Arabidopsis thaliana: one gene and its partner. The protein of the gene in region 2 interacts with the protein of the main gene of each other region in a pairwise test. Each region holds a gene or a part of one and is shown on either strand. Other genes may lie near its edges. The genes, in order: RLP19 and GLR1.3.

What was found.
Region 1: the proteins of GLR1.3 (region 2) and RLP19 interact in a protein complementation assay, tested with the Arabidopsis thaliana proteins (one large-scale study listed by BioGRID).

Annotation. Positions count from the first base shown.
Region 1 is NC_003071.7:6,529,471-6,538,413, reverse strand, and holds RLP19 (receptor like protein 19), read right to left. Parts: upstream 5,154-8,943; 5' UTR 4,651-5,153; coding exon 1,699-4,650; 3' UTR 1,695-1,698; exon of another isoform or gene 1,592-1,694; 3' UTR 1,412-1,591; downstream 1-1,411.
Region 2 is NC_003076.8:19,616,977-19,625,353, forward strand, and holds GLR1.3 (glutamate receptor 1.3), read left to right. Parts: upstream 1-3,290; 5' UTR 3,291-3,339; coding exon 3,340-3,631; intron 3,632-3,723; coding exon 3,724-4,952; intron 4,953-5,034; coding exon 5,035-5,341; intron 5,342-5,439; coding exon 5,440-5,813; coding exon of another isoform or gene 5,814-5,882; exon of another isoform or gene 5,883-5,920; coding exon 5,921-6,301; 3' UTR 6,302-6,449; downstream 6,450-8,377. Other genes in the region: ATGLR1.2 (Glutamate receptor family protein), read left to right, coding at 1-906, 1,014-1,320, 1,414-1,787, 1,878-2,270.

The DNA of each region.
Region 1 (8,943 bases), on a different chromosome or scaffold from region 2:
CAAGAATTAGTTGTGTAGAAAAGTCGGGGAACTCAGATGCTTTAACATTCAAAACATTATTACCTGAATACCTGTTGAAGTACAAAATTAAGGAGGTGCTTGAGATGAATATGACATCACCTATCCATAATATGGTCAATAGTTTGGAACAGATGACGACATAAAATGTTTTAGTGCAAAAGCATAATTTGGTAATTTCCAATCAAATCCTAGCCACAAATCCAACCCTGATGATATATTCCTTAATTACTAACCCTAAGAACAAAATATAATCCAAGTGGTTTTTCAAATGGTTGAGCTTTGCTCGGCACTTCTCATAAATCTTCTAGCAATTCTTTAAACCCAATATGATTCAAGCCAAATATTTTGTGATCCAAAACGTCCTTTTGTCTCTTTAGATCCATTTGCCTTCTTTTGTACCTAAATAAACACCAAGTGAATTCTAGGACTCTGAATGCAAAATTACCTTAAACTACATGTTAAATGCATTTTTACAAGTGATCATAATGAATTAAGACCCAAAAACTATCAAGAAAAGGAGTTTAAGAACACCAAAATATCATCATATCAATTCCCAAGAACTTGTCTTTTGCTTGTCCTCAAACAAACAAAACACCCAAGAGAAAAGGTTTGAAAGAGGATCTTATAACCAAAAAAGAAATCAAAATAGTAATATAATGCAAGAACCAATTTATTCACATTTACCACAATTTCATTTTCCACTCAACTTAGAGATCCATGTATACAAACTCCTTGTCATTCAATTAGCTAGGTATTCTTGTGAAATCATACTGGATGTATAAACCACAAATTTATTGGGTCAAAGATAGAGAGTGGTCTAGAGGTGAGAAAGATGGCTCTTGGATCTTAAGAAAAAGTATTCTTGACATTATGCAAAATAGCTGAAGACCGCGGTACAATTTATGCATACAATGGTCACATTTTCATGTTCTCTCCTTCCTAGATCAAGTTTGCCTATTGTCCCTTCCAATAATGAAGCATCCTAAGAATTACCAAAATTTCAACTTAGCACTCTCAAATGGCTCTTATTAACCAAATTATCTTTTGGATTAATTTCTCTTCAATTTTCTATTTTCATTCTTTTCTTCCTTAGGGATCTTCAACCTTTTAAAATATATATACATATATATATATATATATATATATATATTTGTATAACTAGACCTATTTCCTTAGCTTTAATTTACTTTTTTTTTCTTCTATAGTTAGGCTTCAAAGGAGGATTACACTAGCTTTTTAGTTTTCTTTTAGAACTACTAGCAGAGAATCCGGAGTATGCCCGTTTATTTCACAACTATATTTATAAAAATTAGTTAATTGAAGTTTTAAATTCAGTTTTGGTTTTGTAAGTAGACATGCGAAAAAAAAAAAAAAACAAGTACAAATTATATTGTATTCAACAATTTTTTTATGATACTATTCATTTTTACATTGTATTTAAAAATGGACATAGACATAACAATGGGGGGGGAGGAGGAGACAGAAAAAATGATTATTTAAAATTAGATTGCTTTCCTCCCAAGTTTCTTCCGGTTTTGTTCCTTTGTTTACTTCGTGTAAAATTCTCCAACTTGGGTCAAAGAATAACAAAGAAAGATTATACGTTAGTTCATATATCCAGAAAATTTTAGTACAATATATAGTCTTTATTCTTTCAAAATCAAGATCATTACCTCTCTAATGAGTTATGGTGCCTATGTTTCTGCGTTTGTCTCGGACGAAAGGATTCTTGAACCAATCTGGTTTGTAGGAAAACAATATGCATCCAAATGTCAATCCCAAGGCAGTACCAAGTATGAATCCTATAACAGCTGCTATCCAACTTATCACCTCTTCTTCATCTTCTTCTGGCTCTGGCGCCATGTCAGATTGTTGCGGTGTTTTCCCATGGATATCACAAATTTTCTCAAGCGAAGGGCCATAAAGGCCATGATTGTCCTCGAAAGAAGAGCACTTCTGTGTTTGAAATTGAGTACCTCCTGGTAATAGACCTACCAGCTGGTTATGAGAGAAGTTCATGTATGCAAGGTACGTGAGTTTCCCTAACTCTTGTGGAATTTCTCCTGAAAGCTTGTTTTGGGAAACGTCCAGTGACTCAAGTGCCATGAGGTTCCCCATAGATGATGCGATGTGGCCACTTAAAGCATTGTTTGATAAGTTAAGAACATGAAGCTCTTTCAATAAACCAATGGACTTTGGAATCTCTCCTTCAAATTTGTTTCCCGAAAAGTCAATCACTGTGAAGACTTTTAGGACACGTTCCAGCTCCATCTCTACTCCTTTATTCATCAAAACCATTGAATCAAAGTAGAAATAATCTGTACTCATGTACATGTTGCTCATGGTCTCTCCGTTAGATTGATCTTCATTTTCGTCCAGTGAAAACATTGCAGTCCAGTTGACAAAGAAATTTGCTGGCAACGTACCATTGAATTGATTACCGGATATGTCAATGATTCGCAGCTTAGAAAACTGTGTTTTCTCTATTGGTCCATAAAATGCATTGGAGCGAAGGACAAGAACTTGTAGCTCTTGTAGAGAACTCAACCATAAAGGAAACGTATCACTGATTTTGTTGCTCTCCACATTCAGAAGTCCAAGGGAAGAGATATGACTTAACGATCTTGGAAGCTTTCCCACTAGTTGGTTATGGCCGACGTCAAGAGAAATTAGACTCTCAAATATATTCTCTGGAAGAAGTCCACTAAGACGATTATGTCGAAGATTTAGAGCTTGAAGATATGGAGACTGAATATTTCCCATACAAGTAGGAATTGAACCATTGAATTTGTTGTTAGAAAAATCGAGAGTGCTGAGATAAGGCAACTCACATATGAAAGATGGAATGTTTCCCGTGAAATTGTTGTTGGAGCAAAACAATTGCCTCATAGCTGGTGGTTCTTGGATAGAGGTGAGTCCAAGTTTCGTTGATCTTTCGAAACCGATGAAAGTGTTGTTGGAAAGATTCACGTAGTTCAAAACAGGGAGCATCCATAACCATCCAGGCACTTGACCTTTGATCTTGTTGTTGGAAATGTCTAGAGTCAGCATAAGCTCTTGGGATCTTAGGAACTTTGGAAACTCGGTGATACCGCATCCCGACAAGTACAACTGACTTATCAATACCAATGAAGAATTAGAAAGTGAACTCTTGTTTGTAGTAGAAACATGGCTGCCTGAGAGATCTAGTGTATCCAATAACTTGAAACTTGATAAGATCTCGTACATGTCAATCGTAGTAGTGGTGTTCAAATGGGAGAGGTTAAGGTATTCGATAGACTTGAGATGCGAGAAGATGGTAAAGTCAACTAACCCTTGGGTGTTGTAGTTTGAAAGGTCAAGTTCCTTAAGGTTGACTAATTTGGATATAGATCTATGGATTGGCCCTCTAAAGTTGTTATTCCCAAGGCGTAACACAGTTAAATTCGAGTATGAGGATATATTCCCAAACCCAAGACTACCGTTAAGTTGGTTATTTTCCAAAGTAATAGTTTTCAAAGAGGGAATGTTGAAAAGGGAAGAAGGGAGAGGTCCCGTGAAATGGTTTTCCGTTGCGTCAAACAACTTCAAGTTGGAGAGTGAACTCATGTTAGAAGGAAGTGTTCCGGTTAACCGATTGTTAAAGAGAGATAATGTTGACAGTTTTCTTAGATTTAGTAGTGCAATTGGGAAGCTGCCACTAAGCTTATTGGACTTAACATTTAAGATGTCCAACTGGTTCAAATTGCCAAAAGAAGATGGAATTTCACCAACAATGTTGTTATCAGAGAGGATAAAAGAGGTGAGACAAGAAAGATTTCCAAGTGAAAATGGTATTTCGCCAACAAAATTATTTTTGTGGAGGTCGATAGAGGTGAGATGCGAAAGATTTCCAAGTGAAGACGGAATTTTACCAACAAAATGGTTAGTATCGAGGATCAAATCGGTGAGATGGAAAAGACTTCCAAGTGAAGATGGAAGTTCACCAAAAAAACTATTACGAGAGAGGCGCAAAGTGGTGAGATAAGAGAGATTTCCAATTGAAGAAGGAACCCTACCACTAAAATTGTTATAAGAAAGGTTAAAAGAGGTGAGATGCGAAAGATATCCAAGTGAAGATGGGATTTGACCACTAAAATTGTTATGAGAGAAGTCAACAAATATGAGATGAGAAAGGTTTCCAATCGAAGAAGGAATTCTACCACTGAAATGATTTCTAGAAAGGTCTAGAGTGGTGAGATTAGAGAGGGTTTCAAGTGAAGATGGGATTTGACCAATAAAATCATTATTAGAAAGGTCAAGAGTGGTTAGAAAACGAAGTTGTGGAAGCCTAAAAAGACTACTATTGGAATTGAGCTGGCCACGGAGGCAACTAAAGCTAAGATCTAGCTCGATCACATCCCCGAACTTGGCATCACATTTGATACCATCCCAATAACAACAATCACTGTTATTCGTCCATGACTCCGTCTTCAGAGGAATATTGCTGTCAAAACAAGATTCCTCCAAAGTCTCAAACTCGTTCTTGAATTCGAGAATTGCATCACTTTGATCAGGATCACACAAGTGTCTAGTAGAAGCCGCAAACTCGTCAAGGAAATTAAAAATGAGAATGATAAGAAAAGAAAGAGTAATATAGCCTTTCATCATTTTTTCGAAGTGTTGTTTTTCTTCTTTTTCTTAGTTTCTTGAATATCAATAATGAAAAAGCAAGAAAAGGAGATTGTGATGATAACATGGTTTCATATTCATGTCTTTATATACAAAATAGAGATAAATTAAACCAGTATTTCTACCAAGTCTTCTTCACGTTGTACGCATTGTGTAAAAGTCTCCACTACATTATTCATTGAGGCCAAACCAGCGACTAAAAGAGGATGAAACAAAAATAGAGAACTCGTGTGTGGACTTTGGTGGTATAATGATCCAAATATTATATTTTTCATCACATTAAGTTAAAGAGCTATCTTAAATCTCCACCACATTAAAGAGCCATTTGAAATTTCCACCATATCAAAGAGCCATCTGAAATCTCTACCACATTTTATTTTTCCAAAGGTCCTTGTAGCATTAAAACAAGACAGGGATAGTCCGATCGACATTATTATTAACTACTCCTTCTGTTCCATAAAATTTGATATTTTGGTTTTTTTTTTTTTGTTCCATAAAAATTGATGTAAGTTAATATTATTATTATTTTTAATAATAACAAATAGAGTGGAGAGAAGTAAAACTTATGATATTAAATTTACAAAAAAAATAATATAAATAATACAAAAGTTACTTTTTTTAATTTGTGTGAAAAACCCAAAACATCAAATTTTATGGACTCTTCAGGTTGGTACTCTTCAGCTTCTCAGTCACAGATCTGGTTCTAATTTGAGAAGGTTATGTTTCTTTTGTAATCGATTTAGGGTTTGCATTGTGAAATTTGTCTTGTTTGAGTTTCGATTTGGGGTTTTAATCACATTTAGGGTTTGATTTTCGGGTTTCTGAGATTTACGGGTTTCGAATTGGGGCTTTCGCTATCCGTTTCTCGAAGATTTCAATGGCTTCTTTTTGACATGTATGTTTATTTGAGATCGATTTATGTGGTTCATATACCAATTTTGAGTTTCATATAGCTTTGAACTTATACTATTCTCATGTATCGAATTGAGTTTCATATAGCTTTGATAGTGAGCATTCATTTGTATCGAATTGAGTTTCAAACAGCTTTGATAGCTTGTATTCACTTGTATCGATTAGAACTTGACTATTTTTGTGACTATTCACTTGTATCGAATTGAACTTGACTATTTATGTGATTCACTTGTATCGAATTGAGTTTATTTATGTGGTTCTTAGTTTGCATGTAGCTTTGAGTTTATTATAGAATTGAGTTTCATATAGCTTTGATAGCTTGCATTCACTTGTAGTGAATTTGAGTTTTTGAAATTTCTCTTTGTGTCTTTGATCTTGTATCTCTGTTAACTAATATATATATAAATATTATCATATATATGGGGTTGGAGCTTGTTGGTGTTTTAAAAATGGATAAGACTTGGGTATAGCTGCCAAGGAATAGCATTGAGTACGAGAAAGGAGCAACAACTTTTGTTTACGCATCGAGACTTTTGGGAGATCCTTCTGAAATGTTTTGTCCATGTATGGATTGCTGGAATCTGTGTCATCAACCAATTGATACTGTTTTGGAGCATCTAGTTATTAAGGGAATGAATCATAAATACAAGAGAAATGGATGTTGGAGTAAGCATGGGGAGATATGGGCTGATAAGTTAGAAGCTGAGCCTAGTAGTGAATTTGGAGCTTATGAGCTGATAAGAACAGCTTATTTTGATGGAGAAGAGGATAGTAAGGAGCCAGTTACAAAAGAAGAATCTTACTTTAGAGAGAAGTTGAAGGATGTTGAAACTCCATTATATTATGGGTGTCCCAAGTACACAAAGGTGTCTGCAATTATGGGGCTTTACCGCATTAAAGTAAAGAGTGGGATGTCAGAAAATTACTTTGATCAACTTTTGAGTTTAGTGCACGACATCTTACCAGGAGAGAATGTGCTTCCAACTTCAACAAATGAAATCAAAAAATTCTTGAAGATGTTTGGTTTTGGGTATGATATCATTCACGCATGTCCGAATGATTGCATCTTATACAAAAAGGAGTATGAGCTGAGGGATACTTGTCTTGGATGCAGTGCTTCCAGATGGAAAAGGGATAAACACACTGGTGAAGAGAAGAAGGGGATTCCAGCTAAGGTACTTTGGTATTTTTCCATCAAAGATAGATTCAAGCGAATGTTTAGATCCAAGAAAATGGTTGAGGACTTACAGTGGCATTTTAGCAATGCTAGTGTTGATGGTACAATGCGACATCCAATAGACTCTTTAGCTTGGGCTCAAGTGAATGATAAATGGCCACAGTTTGCTGCTGAATCAAGAAACCTTAGACTGGGACTTTCAACTGATAAGATGAATCCGTTCTCTATTCAGAACACTAAGTATAGTACCTGGCCAGTTTTGCTAGTTAACTACAACATGGCTCCAACAATGTGTATGAAGGCAAAAAATATTATGTTAACTCTTTTGATACATGGACCTAAAGCACCAAGCAATAACATTGATGTCTATCTAGCTCCATTGATAAATGACTTAAAGGATTTGTCGAGTGATGGTATTCAGGTTTATGACTCATTCTTTAAGGAAAATTTCACTCTTAGAGCTATGTTGTTGTGGAGTATCAATGACTATCCAACTTTAGGGACATTGGCTGGTTGTAAGGTGAAAGGAAAACAAACTTGTAATGTCTGTGGGAAAGATACACCTTTTAGGTGGTTGAAGTTCAATAGAAAACATGTGTATTTAAGCAATAGAAAACGACTCAGACCAGGGCATCCTTACAGGCGTAGAAGAGGCTGGTTTGACAACACTGTAGAAGAAGGGAAAACTAGTAGAATTCAAACTGGAGAAGAACTATTTGAAACATTATAGGATTTCAAAAATGATTTTGGAAGACCCTTGGAGAGAAACAACAAAAGAAAGAGATCAGATTTATGTGAAGATGATGAATATGGTGAAGACACACATCAATGGAGATGGAAGAAGCGATCAATTCTTTTTGAATTACCTTATTGGAAGGTAAATACTTCACCTTTTGAATTTTATCTTGAATTTTATCTTGATTGGCCCTAACTACTTATTGTTTGTATTGTAGGACCTCCCTGTCCGTCACAACATTGATGTGATGCATGTGGAGAAGAATGTGTCTGACGTCATTGTGTCTACGTTGATGCAATCTGCTAAATCAAAGGATGGCTTGAATGCACGCAAAAACTTGGAAGATATGGGAATTCGTAGTAACTTGCACATTCAGTTAAGAGGGAAGAGGACATACTTACTTCATGCGGCATTTTGGTTATCTAAGGATGAGAAAAAGAGATTCTGCAAAAGGCTGGCTAGGTTTAGAGGGCCGGATGGATATTGTGCCAATATCTCTAACTGTGTTTCTGTGGATCCACCAGTCATTGGTGGTTTGAAGTCTCATGATCATCATGTGCTCCTTCAGAACTTGTTACCTGTTGCTTTGAGAGGATTGCTGCCAAAAAGACCTAGAGTCGCTATAAGTAGATTAGGCCACTACTTCAACAGGCTGTGTCAGCGGGTCATTGACCCTGAGAAGCTAATCTCATTGGAGTATGAATTAGTTGAGACTATGTGCCAGCTGGAGAGGTAGTTTCCTCCATCTCTTTTTGACATCATGTTTCATCTACCAATTCATTTGGCTAGAGAGGCTCGCTTAGGTGGACCAGTCCACTTTAGATGGATGTATCCCTTTGAAAGGTATTGTCTATAACTTTTTCTATTAAGTTAATTACTTATATAAAATTTGGATATTGATCTAATCTTATTAACTTGCAGGTACATGAAAACTCTAAAGGCTTATGTGAAGAATTTTGCAACGCTTGAAGCTTGTATGGCTGAGGGATATTTAGCTGGAGAATGTATGGCTTTTTGCTTAAAGTTTCTACAAAACTCATTATCAGTTCCAGAAGTCGTTAACCGCAATGAAGGTGTTGATAGTAATTCACTTGTACTTGAAGGCAGACCACTGCATAAAGCTACACAAGTAACTCTTACGAGTAAAGAGCGAGACATAGCTCATAGATATGTTCTAATGAACATGGCCGTTATGGATCCATATGTTAAGTAAGTGATTCTAAATTATTTTCTGTCATTAATTATTTGACTGTCATTAACTTATATTCTAAACTATTGTGTAAAACTGATCACAACTTGCATTTAGAAGAACTCCAAGCTACTGATGCCAGATGTATGAAAAATGAAACGTTTTTATGGAAGACACATGCAAAAAAGTTCTCACAGTGGGTAAAGGAGAAGGTGAACATTTTTGAACTTAGTTGATTTTTCATTCATTGTGTTACTC
Region 2 (8,377 bases):
AGTGTCACTTCGAGTGAGGATTCTTTGATGGATCGATTACGGGAGCTTAAGGACTTGGGAACAACTGTCTTTGTTGTTCACTTGTCTGAAGTTATTGCAACTCGTCTCTTCCCATGTGCTGAGAAATTAGGGATGATGGGTGAAGGGTTTGCTTGGATTCTTACTTCCAGAAGCATGAGCAGTTTTCATGATCAGTTCATTGACGATTTAACAAAGGAGGCAATGGAAGGTGTGGTTGGTTTCAAGTCTTATATACCAATGTCAAAAGAGCTTCACAACTTCACTTTGAGATGGAGAAAAACACTCCCTGTTGAAGAAGTTACTGGGAGTGAGATTACTCGGTTGAGTATCTCTGGCGTATGGGCTCATGATGTCGCTTGGAGTCTGGCGAGTGCAGCTGAAGTGACAAGGATGCCAACTGTGACATCAACTCTCCTTGAGGCCATAAAAGAAAGCAGGTTTAAGGGTCTGAGTGGTAACTTTCAGTTGGATGATATGAAGTTGTTATCAGACAAGTTTGAGATTGTGAATATGATAGGATCAGGTGAGAGAAGGGTAGGATTCTGGAATTCTAATGGTAGTTTCAGCAATAGAAGACAATTATCTTCTACTCATGACAATCTGGAGACCATAATTTGGCCCGGTGGGTCTGCTCAAAGTCCGAAAGGGAGAAGTCTAAGAGAGAGCGGTAGAAAAAAGCTTAGGGTTCTTGTTACATCTAGCAATAGATTCCCAAGACTGATGAAAGTGGAGACTGATCCAATAACACATGAGATAACAATTGTCGAAGGGTTCTGTATAGAAGTCTTTCAGGCATCCATTGCACCTTTCAACTATGAAGTGGAGTACATACGTTGGCTCAATGGAACTAACTACACCAAGCTTGCATATGCACTTCATAGCCAGGTACTAAGCATGGCTCGATTTTACAATTGCAAGTACTTTTAAAATTTGCGTAGACTGTGTGTGGGAACTGACTTAATTCCATTGATAATTTTTGTTGCATCCCTTAGAAAGACAAATATGATGCTGCTGTGGGAGATATTACAATTACTTCCGATAGATCGATGTATGTTGATTTTACGTTGCCATACACTGAAATGGGTCTTGGAATTGTAGCAGCAAAGGAGAGAAGTATGTGGGTGTTCTTCCAACCTCTAACACCAAACCTTTGGATAACAAGTGCAGCTTTCTTTGTCTTGACGGGTATTATAGTTTGGTTGATAGAAAGAGCTGAGAACAAAGAGTTCCAAGGATCTTGGCCTCAACAGATTGGAGTTGTGATTTGGTTTGGCTTCTCTACCCTTGTTTATGCTCATCGTAAGTACCTTTTCACATTCTTATATACCAATTTGGCCATAAGAGAAGAGATTGTAGTGATGCTTACCTTTTGTTGCTTACTCTGTGTGACAGGGGAGAAGCTACAACACAACTTATCAAGATTTGTAGTTACAGTTTGGGTATTTGCGGTGCTCATATTGGTTACAAGTTACACTGCAACATTGACATCAATGATGACGGTGCAACAAATACGATTCAACGCCAATGAAGATTATGTGGGTCACCTCTCGGGATCCCTCATCGCAAATGCGGCCCTCACCAATTCCAGCCTCAGAGCAATGAGATTATTGGGTCTCAATACTTCAGAAGATTATGCTCAAGCTTTGATGAATAAAAGTGTCTCATATATTGTTAGTGAGTTGCCATACCTGAAAATCCTCCTTGGCGAGAATCCTGGACATTTTCTCATGGTCAAGACACAATCTACCACCAATGGTTTTGGCTTCGTATGTATCCTTCTTCTGCATCATCAGTTGCTTTACTCTTGATTTTACTTGTTGAAAAAGAAATGTTTGGTTTGTTATACTATGTTCCAGATGTTCCAGAAGGGGTCCGAGTTGGCGCCTAATGTGTCCCGGGAGATTGCGAAGCTGAGGACAAGCGAGAGGCTAAACGAGATGGAGAGAAGATGGTTTGATAAACAGCTTCCATACACAACCGATGATACATCAAATCCTATAACCCTATATAGATTCCGTGGTTTGTTTATGATCACCGGAGTTTCATTCGCTTTCGCTCTTGCAGTACTTCTCATTCTTTGGCTCCGAGAAAGATGGGAAATCCTTGTGAATTCGGTCAATATATACTTCTCACAACGACTTAGACATTTCAGGATCCTCTTCACAAGAACTATCCATCCTAGTCCCCTCGGCCTCGATAACCCCATTGGCGAGAATGCGGTTCAAATGGCTCAACGTAACAGACGATAGGAAATGAGTAACATAGAGAGAAAACAATTGTTGTGATGTGGTACGTCTCTGACTCTGACCTTGGAGCAGCAAAGAAGATCCTCCAGTGATCCACTAGCTCCTGATCCAAGCCGGCTTACGTCTGAAAGTATAAATGATTGTTATACCAATTTTGTAAATTATAGTGTGATCATATTCGCAACCACTTTTGTAAATAGCAAAAAGGTATTGGTAATATATTGAGTTAAAATTTAACACATTTAGTTTGAGTATTTTTTGGAGAATATGATACTTTTGCAAAGAAAAAAATACTTTAATTCTTCATTTTATAAACCTTAAAAAATGTACCAAACTTTAATCAGTATGTAAAAGACTCGTGCATTTCGTTTGTTGGTATTTGTGTTTAATTTCTTCCATCAATTTATTTGAGATGAGACGACTTTCACCATTTTTCTCTGCTTCTAGATTTATATCTTTGACTGTCTAAATTGTCAAATCCCTTACACTAAGTACTTTTGTTGATTTGTTCTTGTCAACACAAGTTAATACAACCCCAACAAATATGGAGTTTTTAACCAAAAAAAAAACAAATATGGAGTTCTACGTGTAAAAATTTCAGATTAAAACACATTTGTTCCTACGACCGTTGACAAATGTTTTTTTTTTTTTAAGACAAATGATTTTTTTCTTTTGCTAAAATTGGTTAGTTGACAAAATTTTATCCTATAGAATCCTTTTCGAATTTATTCCGTATTTTTACCTTTTTACTTTCTTCACCAAACATTTTGATAGATTTAGTCAGATTCTCTTAAATAATGAAATGATTTGAGAGACAAAAGAGTAGCCAAACTCGATAGCCCATACCGAATTTTACGTTGACTAATGTAATTTTTCTTAAAATCATGATGTCATCATCTTAAACTTTGAATTTTTCTTCAAATATAGTACGTATGTTAATTTTTAAAATTGGAATAATTAGACAGATGAAAAACAAAACACGGCATGGGTTTATATAACAACAAAATAAAATAATGACTAAAAGCAGCAAACGTGGGGTTTCTCCTTTCTCTCTAGTTGGAAAGTTTTTTTAATGGAGAGATTTTGTATTCAAACCCAAACTTTGCTATCGTTTCTTCTTGTTTTGCTTCTCTTCATCTCCAGGTCTTTTGCTTCTACTAAAAACGACGACGTTGATGGAGGTAAACGGGTTCAGATCCGGGTCGGGTTGGTTTTGGATTTGGGTTCCTTGAAAGGGAAGATAGTGAAAAACTCTGTTTCCATGGCTCTTTCCTATTTCTACGCTATTCATAATGATTACAAAACAAGAGTCTCTGTTTCACTCAGAAACTCTCATGGAGAGCCTCTTCTTGCTCTTGCTTCTGGTAAAAACACTTCTTCTCTACAAAAACTCTCTTCTTCTCTGTCTCCATTCACACTCACAATCTTGGTTTTCTATCTCTTGTGAATGAAACAGCTGTAGATCTTCTGAAAACTGAAGGAGTAGAAGCGATTATTGGCGGGAACTCGTTGTTAGAAGCGAAGCTTTTAGGGGAACTTGGAGAGAAAGCTAGGGTTCCTATGATTTCACTTGACTCTCCGTTTTCATTGTCATTAAGCAAATACACTCACTTGATCCAAGCCACACATGATTCTACCTCTGAGGCAAAGGGGATTACATCTTTTATTAATGTGTTTGATTGGAACAGTGTTGCTCTTGTTTATGAAGATCATGATGACTGGAGAGAGAGTATGCAACTTTTGGTGGAGCATTTTCATGAGAACGGTGTTCGTGTACAGTCCAAGGTTGGTTTTACTGTCTCTTCTAGTGAGGATTTTGTGATGGGTCGGTTACAGCAGCTGAAGGACTTGGGGACTACTGTCTTTGTTGTTCACTTGTCTGAAGTTATTGCAACTCATTTATTCCCATGTGCTCGGAGATTAGGGTTGATGGGTGATGGGTTTGTTTGGATCCTGACTGCTAAAACTATGAACAGCTTCCATGAGAACATTGATGATTTCACAAAGCAGGCAATGGAAGGTGTGGTTGGTTTCAAGTCTTACATTCCAATGTCTATAGAGCTTCAAAATTTCACTTTGAGATGGAGAAAATCATTGCCTGTTGAAGAAGCGGAGCTAACTCGGTTGAGTATCTCTGGCATATGGGCTCACGATATCGCTTTTGCTCTGGCGAGAGCAGCAGAAGTTATAAGGATGCCAAATGTGACATCAACTCTCCTTGAGGAAATCACAAAGACTAGGTTTAACGGTTTGAGTGGTGATTTCCAACTAAATGATAAGAAGTTGTTATCAAACAAGTTTGAGATTATCAATATGATAGGATCAAGTGAGAGAAGAGTAGGATTCTTGAACTCTAACGGTAGTTTTAGTAATAGAAGACATTTATCTTCTACTCATAACAAGCTTGAGACCATAATCTGGCCAGGTGGGTCTGCTCAAAGTCCGAAAGGGACTAGTCTAATAGATAGCGATAGAAAAAAGCTGAGGGTCTTGGTTACATCTAGCAATAGATTCCCAAGACTGATGAAAGTGGAGACTGATCCAGTAACAAATGAATTAATTGTTGAAGGGTTCTGTATAGAAGTCTTTCGCGCTTCGATTAGTCCTTTCAACTATGAAGTTGAGTATATACCTTGGCTCAATGGAAGTAACTACGACAATCTTGCATATGCACTTCATAGCCAGGTACTAACCATGTCTTACTTAAGTGTTTTATATTATAACAAGTATTTTTTTTTTTTTAATTGTTTTGTGTTGCATCCCACAGAAAGACAAATATGATGCGGCCGTGGGAGATATTACAATCACTTCGAATAGATCGACGTATGTTGACTTTACGTTGCCATTCACTGAAATGGGTCTTGGAATTGTAGCAGTAAAAGAGAGAAGTATGTGGGTGTTCTTCCAACCTTTAACACCAGATCTTTGGATAACAAGTGCATTTTTTTTTGTCTTGACCGGAGTTATAGTTTGGTTGATAGAAAGAGCTGAGAACAAAGAGTTCCAAGGATCTTGGCCACAACAGATTGGAGTTGTGCTTTGGTTTGGCTTCTCTACCCTTGTCTATGCTCATAGTAAGTACTCACCTTTTCACATTTATATATGCCAATCTTGTTCAGAAAAGATTGTAGTGATCATGCTTACCTTTTGCTGCTTATACTATGTGTGACAGGGGAAAAGCTAAAACACAACTTATCAAGATTTGTTGTTACAGTTTGGGTATTTGCAGTGCTCATACTGACTGCAAGTTACACTGCAACATTGACATCAATGATGACGGTACAACAGATACGATTTAACTCCAACGAAGACTACGTGGGTCACCTTTCCGGCTCCCTCATTGCAAATGTGGCTCTCACTAGTTCCAGCCTCCGAGCAATGAGATCATTGGGTCTTAATAGTGCTGCAGATTATGCTCAAGCCTTGTTGAACAAGACTGTTTCATTTGTTGTTGATGAGTTGCCATACCTCAAAGTTGTCCTTGGCGAGAATCCAACACATTTTTTCATGGTCAAGACACAATCTACCACCAACGGTTTCGGCTTTGTATGTATCCTTCTTCTTCATCGTCATAAGCTTCTTTACTCTTTCTTTACTTTTGACTTGCTGACATAAGAACATGTTTGGTTTGTTATTGTTATACTATGTTTTAGATGTTTCAAAAGGGCTTCGAGTTGGTGCCTAATGTGTCCCGAGAAATCTCAAAGCTAAGGACGAGCGAGAAGCTAAATGAGATGGAGAAAAGATGGTTTGATAATCAACTTCCATACACAACCGATGATACATCAAATCCTATTACTCTTTACAGATTCCGCGGTTTGTTTATAATCATCGGTGTTTCATTCGCTTTCGCTCTTGCGGTACTTGTCATTCTCTGTCTCCGCGACAAATGGGAAATTCTTGTGGACAATCTAGACCTCTCACAACGACTTAGACATTTCAGGATCCACTTTGTAAGATCTATACATACTAGTCCCCTTGATGACCCCATTGGCGAAACTGCGGTTCAAATGGCTCAACAAAATAGACAATAGGAACTGATTAGGGTTAGATCAAAAGGTCCACAAACAATCTTTACTTGTAAATGACTTACATATCAAAGTATAAATGCTGTTTAGACCAAATCCTTGCTTGTAAATTGTATGATCAAATTCAAAACCACCTTTATATAGTTGGTTCATATATGATTAGTGTCTTTCAAATGGTATGGTTCTCAAAAAAAAAAAAAAAAACAATTAAGGTGGAACCAACCGAATCAATTTTTTTTTTTTTGTCACAAGAGTGTCCATTTTGTTATATCAACATAAGCCAAAGTTTGAGACAAACAACAGAGCCAAATTCAACTAAACATAAGTGTAAGACTTTTCAAGCCCAACTATGAAGCCCAAGTAGGAAACCGCATCAGGAAGAAAGAAGAATCATTGAAACAGAACCTAAAACACGTGTCATGAAAAGGTTAGGTGCTGAAGACACGTGAGAAGAAGAAGATCGGAGAATCACTGGTCGCCGCCGAAGAAGATTGTCGACTCCATTGAAACCCAGAACGCCGCGATATGCATGTTGAATCCGGTGATAGCAATTGTCAATTCCAAAGCTCTAAAAACAAATCTTCAACTTCATGGAAATTCAACTTCAAAATCTTCCCAATTAAACGTCAACGGTTCACGAACTCAAGCATCATATTCATCAATCTTATGTTGGAGAGAATTGTGTTTAGGCAAAGACGAATCACCTAAAACCACAACACTAACATAGATCGCATAATTTATTCAACAGAAAAAACAAAAAGCGGCAACAGATAGCCGAAACAAAGCCGGACCTCGCCGGAGACAAAGCTGAACCATACCAGAGACAAAACTAGTAAACAAACCGGATGGAGAAACAAAGATCGTGTTCCTCTCTCTGAATAATTGAAGAGAGAGAAGAGAGAGAAATTGATCTTTTCCCCTTCCAACCGAATCAATCTAATATCCGGTTTATTGACATTAGTTCCAAAATCAAAATCAAACCTAGTAAGAAATCCGAAATGCCGGTCAGTTGTGGGCTTTCAGTTTGGGCTGGGCTAATAAAATTAATGAGCCCATAAGCTTTTTCAAAGAGAAGAAAGGAGAAGAGAGAAACCCTAATCTCTATTCTCTCCCAATCTTATATATAATCTCTCTTCTTTCTCTTCTTCTACAACGCCTTTCTCTCATGTCTCTAAATTAGCTACTCTTTCAAAATTTTGCAGCTTAAACGAATCGTAAAGTACTCCTTTGTTGTTTTTTTGGGTCTGTAGTTTTTTTTTTTTTAAAGCAAGTCTCAGCTTCTTTGATTGGGTCAAGATATTCACGATCCAATCAATTTTATGAAAATCATAACTTGCGAAATAGAAATCGGCAGTATCACTCGCCTGGATCTGATTATAATCATGATTATCCAGGCCCTTAATCTACTGGCACAATCTTTTGAAATTAGATTTTGTTGTTGTTGTTTTGGGCAAACGCACTCTGTCCCAAGACCATTAATTCCATGTTTTGGTGCAATTTCTTCGTTTGCTAAATTGATCTGTACTCCAATTTTAATCATGTCCTCGGGATTATTCTCTGTGATCCCTATATGGGCACATGATTGGTTTACTATACTTTGATTCTTTCGATACCAAATAGTTTTACATAAATCGTTTTTTAGGAGTTAGTTTGTTATTTGAATTGATATGTTTATATCTTTGCAGAAGAATAAATCTTATCTGGTGTACGATTTATGTGATACAGTCACCAAGGACGGTAATTGTTTTCGGATTTAGGTTTAATGAACGGCTTAGGATTAAACTTGAAACATCTAATGAATCTTTGAATAGATTATGTGAGAACATGCCTTGAAGAACATTTGATTTTGACCTTTCGAACGAATAACTTATATATCCAAAAAAATTACTCAATTCGTATATCCCGTAATTTCCCAATCTGAAGATTATAACCAAAATCAAGAGGCACGTATCTAAGACTAAATGTGTCATAACTCACTGAAATTGTTGTTGAAGAAGAACAGAAGATACTGATGATGATGGATAAAAAAACAAAAAGAAGATACTAATGATGGAAGTCCTTCAGTTGATGAACATAATACTG